2 linked regions of the Mus musculus genome follow. The protein of the gene in region 1 purifies or fractionates together with the protein of each later gene. This does not show direct contact. Links are inferred from orthologs where the notes say so. Each region holds a gene or a part of one and is shown on either strand. Other genes may lie near its edges.

Region 1 (3,514 bases):
AAGGCTAGAGTCAATGTTATTTTAGTTAGGAAATTAATGGGAGGATCCTTTGTAGAAAGTGGGAGACTTCTTGAGCTGGTGGCAGTTTAGGGCTCTGTCAGTGTGGAATAAAAATAAGAGAAAATGTAGGAGGGAGAATTGATAGTACTCAATGCTTGGATGCATATAAGAGAGTAGACAGAAGAGAGTTCAAGACTCCTAGGGTTCAGGTTGAGGAACTGGATGGTAGGGTGGAGAGCCTCTTCGCTGAGATGCAGAGTTGTGCAGGTCCTGAGTGATTTTGGATATAGCAAATCAAGGTATCTTTTCTCTCTGTCACTTGAATTCATATTCAAAATAGAATAGGAAGACCTTCATGTGCTTTATGGGTGCTCTGCTTTGTCTGTGTTTAGTTGTACTTTGCCATTTTTCCCTCACTCTAAATGCTCAAAGGTTATGACACCCTGACAGGAACTATGGCACAATGTGCTGATACGTCTCAGTGACACAGGTGACAGTCAATAGAAAAGGCAAATAGAGCAGCATATATAAAAGTTAGGAAGGAAGAGTGTTTAGGCAGAGGGAAGTAGAAATAAGAAGGGCACATAGTTTTCAAAACTATCAGCTCTCTGCTGTCAGGGCCATGAGTTAGTTCAGTGATACTCCAAAACGTTCACATGGAACTTCATATTCTGTGATCCTATGTTAAGTTTTGATTTGAGCAAAATCTAGACCACAGGTTCTCAGTGACATCAATCTCACCTGGTAATTTGTTTAAAATGCAAATTCTTGGGCACTAAGCCTCTTTGTGTGTGAGCATATTTGTGTGTGTGCTTGTGTGGCATATCTATGTGAATGTGGTATGCATGCAAGTTGGAAGTCTGAGATCTACGGAGCATATCTTCTTCAGTTGTGTTTCTTGCCTTATTTTTCCCCAACTCCTTATTTTTCTTAATTATTATTGTATGTGTATATATTTATGCTGTATGAGTGCATATGTCACAGTCACACATGTGAAGATCAGATAACCTTGTAGAGTCAATTCTATTCTTATACCGTGATGTGGGTTCCCCATAGTCAAGTGCAGGTTGCCAGGCTTGCTCTGGAAACACCTTCACCTGATTAACCATCACCAGCCCTTATGTTTTTGACACAGGGTCTCTTTATCTAACCTATAGCTTGCCGGTTTGGCTAGATTGATCAGTGACCTTTGTGAATCTGCTCGTCTCTTCTCAACCTGACACCTGACTTTTATGAGGATAATAGAGATCTGAATTAGGGTTCTCAAGTTTGTGCAGCAAGTAATTTATCCTTCCTAGCCCTCAGCAGTCTTATTCTAACCATACTCCAGGAGACCATGTACCCTAATATTTAAATTCCCTTGGTCTAGGTTCAGTAAACTTTCTCTGCATAAGGCTCGCAACATTAGGAAGGTTGAGAACCACTGCTGTAGACCAATATGGTAGTTGTTATCAGAATAAACAATGACATGTTAATAGTAACAGGAGTTAGAGGTCAGGCTAAATAGTTTCAAATATTGGCTGCTTTTAGAAACTTTTGATAATTGATTTTTCTTCTCTTTCTCTTTAAATGACACCTGTTTTTCTCCACAAAAATTAGTTCATTTTTGTTTTATTATAAACATGTAGTTCAATTACTAAAAATGGAAGCATTACAAAAATAATTGCTTTTCTCATTTTGATGACATTTTCTGTATGCCAGTTTTATTTTATCATAATATTTAAACTTTCAAAATGCTTGATCTGGTTATATACTTCCTCAGCTTTTAAGTGTAAAATTATAACTTAAGTTTTTTTCTTTTTTGAAGGTTGTTTTGGAAACAGAAATTACAAATAAGTCTGCTTTGAAACTTTATGAAAATCTTGGTTTTGTTCGAGATAAGAGGCTGTTCAGATACTATTTAAATGGAGTTGACGCACTGCGACTTAAACTGTGGCTGCGCTGAGGAACTGACAGCAAGGAACGACTCCACCCACACGGAAGCGACTTTTGCATGCAATGCAATTTGTGCAGAATTGCTTTGCAGGTGGATTTAGTGATTCCCATGCAGCTGTTATCTGTCAGTGTCCATTGAGTGTTGCACAATATTTGTTGCACTTTGGCATGGCGCATTTGTTCTGAATTAAATGAGATTGTTTTAAACTTCAAGAGTTCTGTTGGTACCAGCAGGATGTGCCAGTTAATAGCCAAGACTTGTTCATTTGCAAAGTCTGCTGACAGTGCTATTTATATAGTGATCATTTTATCACAGAACCAGTAAGTGGGACATGATTTTTGTTCCTTCAAGAAGCCAATGTAGATTGTAAAAGTCTCCTAAGTATACTAACATTTCACACAAAACCTGCCATAGTTTTTTGAAGGGGGTGAGGGAAAAGCTTCAATTTAGGTTTTATTTTTTCAATATTAAATTTTCCATCTTGAATATTGGTACCTCAGTGATTAGTGGATGAAAAGTGTAGGGTGGAATTTGTCTTATGATGAGTAAAGATGACAATTAAATTGCGTCTGCCAGTGCCTGTGTAGATAAGTATTCTTGTCTTCATCTCTAGTTTTTGAATGCATGCTCTTTTTCTTTTTCTTTAATACCTTTGCAAGCAAACTTGTTTTTATTTAAATTCTAAATTTGATAATAAATTATTTCAGATTTTTATCATTTGGACAGTTTTTCTAGGTGAGTGGCAGTACTTTGCTTTAGAAGGAAGTCCCTTCTTCCCTTACAGTAAGAAGCTGACCCTACTTGGGAAACTGAGAAATGGCTTAAAGGGATGGAGCTGGGAATTGTGGGGTTTGGATGCACTTTTTTGTTTTTGTTTTTTTGAGAATGGGGGAATTTTTGAAAACAATAGAAAATTAATGTAAATTGGTATGATCTTATTTAATCAAAATGATTGATAAGCTGTGAAGAACAGCTTCTATAAACTAGCTGGGTTTTTTCTTTTTTCTTTTTAACTTTATTTGAATTCACATTGCTTCCATTTCTGAAAATACTTCACTTTTGGTTTAGTGTTAGAAATGAATTTCAAGGAGCATTGTATCCATTTCAAGCTGCATTTATTTTCTTTTTACTCATGAGCAGATTGTTGGGGGACCTTTGCTTTGTTCCTCCAGAAAAAAAGGAGAGGGATGAAACATTTTTTTAATGAGTTCTTTGGGTTTTCTGAGCAGCCAAGGTGTTTATTAGTTACAGTGGATTTTGGCTAATCAGTGTAATGTTAGCAAATTGTAGCTCCCTGCTTTGGGTTGAGTTGGTAAAGCTGTGATGAGTAATTTATTTAACTAGGATACCTAAGCACTCATAAGGAACAAGAGTCAGTTTCTCAAAAATGCTTATAGGAATCTGGCATTCATGTTGTTTTTTTCTTTTGAATATACTTTTCTTCTACTCTAATACTTGGTTTGAATTTTATTTTATGGCTGTAATTACTGTATTTTTAAAAACCCTACCTCCATTAACAGTTGGTAAAGGCCCCTTTTCAGGAAAGTTTGTTGCGCTTTTTTTGTTTGTTTGTTTTAA
Region 2 (2,706 bases), on another chromosome or scaffold:
GTAGGAAACGAATCCTCAAGACTACAAATGGGCAAATCAGAGAGCATCTCTCAGCATCCTGCCTTTTCCTTATCGCATTAGTCCATTCTTCCTGATCAGACCCCAGAGTTGTCTGGCCCTGACCCCAAAGTCACTTCCCCATTAATAGCGCAGAGAGGGCCTTGTTTCGGCTGCCTACCCAGCTCCCCTTGGGGACCCGAGCCCGTTCTCTGACCCCAGCTTAAAGGAACTGAGTGTTGCCAGGCCGGGGTGGGAAACAATGGATCTTCCGGGGCAGGATGACACCGCTTCCCGCTAGAAACTGAAGCAGGAGCGTGGGAGGGAAGATGGAGGGGCCCACCCTAGGGCCTGCTGCCTTAAGCTCCTAACTTGAGGGAGGGTTTGGTTCTTCTAGGCATTGGGGCAGGTTGAGGAAGCTCCTGAACTCTGATGAACCTCTAAGGGTGGGGTGTGCTAGCCCTCCCCTGACATTGGACCTACACACAGACACAGGCCACTTTGGTCATAGGGTTTAATGGTCTCAAAGAGAAGTGCAATTGTGGTCAGAGATACGGGCCCCCCGACAGACTCTCCCTTTGGACTTCAATAGAAACGATGTGGTGTCCTGGTACCATGGCCAGACCCAGCACACGGGGTTCGCCCGCAGAAAATGAATCTGGAAAAAAAAAAAAAAGTCAGTATCAGAACAGCAGGCAAACATCCGTCTCGCCCCCAGAAAATAAGGGGGTGCAGTAAGGCCTGCAAGAGGAAATGCCTTGCAGTGAATTTCCGCCGCATTCCCGAGGAGGTAGGTGTGTATTCCCTGGACACTGACCAGAAGGCTTGAGGAACTCTTGCGCAGAGCCCAGGATGACATTACAGTCGCGATCAGTGCACAGGAAGCAGCCGACTAGTGTCCTTCCATCTGTCATACGGATACGCATGGTCTTGTTGAGCAATGCCTCTAGTTGCTGCCGTGCACGCGTGGCCGGCGAGTCCTCCTGTTCCCCATCAGAGTCCTGCTAGGGCAGGACAAGCACTCAGACACCTAGGATCGGCAGCACGCCCAAGGAACCACAGTTCCCAGCTGCCCTCGCGGCGCTGCCAGAAGCCCGTGGGCTGCTGGGAATTGTAGTTCTCCTTTCCAACCTCGCCACCCCCTTTCCCCTCCCCGCCCGGTGTCGCTCCCCGACTGCTCGTCCAGAAACCAAGCCCACGCTAACCCCGGCGCTGGAGCTGCTCTGACGCCGACTGCAACAGCCATTCTCCTCTCGTAGTAGCATGGTCGGCCCAGCTCCGGCCATTGGCCCTGGGACCTCTTTTGGGCCTTAAACTTCCTAAGAGCGTTTTGGGGGATCGGCGCGTCAGATCTCGCGAGTGCTCCCAAGCGCTTTCGTGAGATCACAATTCCTCCTCGCCTCCGGTTCCGCCACTGCAGATCTCGCGAGATTTTATTTCATGCCAGGTCCCTACATGCCTACTGGGCTACGAGAAGAATATCGCGAGAACTTTACCTGCAATTGCTTAAACAGCTTTTAAACGCCTGAAATCTGGTGATTAAAAAACCCTCTATTCTAGTCTCCTCGTCGATACTTTCTGTTACCCCTAACTCATCTAGCCTACACTCCGTTATGAAACGGACTGTCTTCATTTCCTCTAAGAATGAATTCAACCACAGTAGGCTCGAAGCCGGAATCCGGAATGCTTCCGGTGGACACGCGCAGCCCAAACCCCGCCCTACTTACGTATAACTAACTACTGTGGCCGGTGGCCGGAAAGGGACAATGGTTTCCATGTCAGCGACAAACGCACTTCAGGTAGTTCTTGGACCTGATAGTTTTAAGATTGCGGAGGAGCGAGAAGGTAGCTGAGGGAGCCTGTGCCTCTTGTAGACCAGGAGCCATGCCGCGCCGGGGCCTAGTAGCCGGGCCAGACTTGGATAATTTTCAACGTCGGTATTTCACGCCGTCAGAAGTAGCGGAACACAACCAGCTCGAGGACCTATGGGTGTCTTACCTGGGATTTGTTTACAATCTAACACCGCTTGTCGAGGAATTCAAAGGTAAGGGACACACGGTAGGGAAGGGCTGGAGAGCTGGTTCTGGCCCTTGGGTGGCCGGCCATTGACGGCCTCTGTTTCTTTTTAGGGGACCTACTGTTGAAACCCATCCTGGAGGTCGCAGGCCAGGACATAAGTCACTGGTTTGATCCACAGACTAGAGACGTAAGTTCTGCTGGTATGGGGTCGGTGGAAGCGGCACTGGAGAGCAGAGGAGGGATGGCGGGGAATAACTCGAACTCGAAATAGTGATTGCTCCGATCCGTCTCTCCAAATCCTTGCTTTTGAAGATTCGCAAGCATATAGATCCACTCACTGGTTGCATGAGATACCGTACCCCGCGGGGCCGCTTCGTACATATCCCGCCGCCACTGCCCCGTTCAGATTGGGCCAATGATTTCGGAGTACCCTGGTGGAAGGGGGCAAATTACCAGGTGGGACGACTGTCTGCTCGGACCCGGAACATCCGTATTATTAACACTCTTGCAACGCAGGAGCACACACTGCAGGTGAGCTCTGGCGCCTGGGGACGTACTAGAGGAACCAGAAATCATTTCTGGGAGTTAACACGACAGAGGAAAGCAGATGGTCCTGGTACCCAGAGTTGGAAATTCCAGAAGTATGTTTGTATTACAGCTCCCTCAGTCTCCTTCATAGCTCTAGGCCAG

What was found.
Region 2: the proteins of Naa30 (region 1) and Naa38 purify together in Homo sapiens (co-immunoprecipitation; 3 studies listed by BioGRID and IntAct, with this or other methods). This does not show direct contact. The link is inferred for Mus musculus from reciprocal best matches to the Homo sapiens genes NAA30 and NAA38.

The regions. Positions count from the first base shown.
Region 1 is NC_000080.6:49,185,743-49,189,256, forward strand, and holds part of Naa30 (N-alpha-acetyltransferase 30), read left to right. Parts: intron 1-1,807; coding exon 1,808-1,945; 3' UTR 1,946-3,514. UniProt on the Homo sapiens protein: Catalytic subunit of the N-terminal acetyltransferase C (NatC) complex. Catalyzes acetylation of the N-terminal methionine residues of peptides beginning with Met-Leu-Ala and Met-Leu-Gly.
Region 2 is NC_000077.6:69,394,469-69,397,174, reverse strand, and holds Naa38 (N(alpha)-acetyltransferase 38, NatC auxiliary subunit), read right to left. Parts: upstream 1,385-2,706; 5' UTR 1,284-1,384; coding exon 1,203-1,283; intron 999-1,202; coding exon 815-998; intron 660-814; exon of another isoform or gene 656-659; coding exon 543-655; 3' UTR 504-542; downstream 1-503. Other genes in the region: Cyb5d1 (cytochrome b5 domain-containing protein 1), read left to right, coding at 1,882-2,041, 2,127-2,203, 2,329-2,547.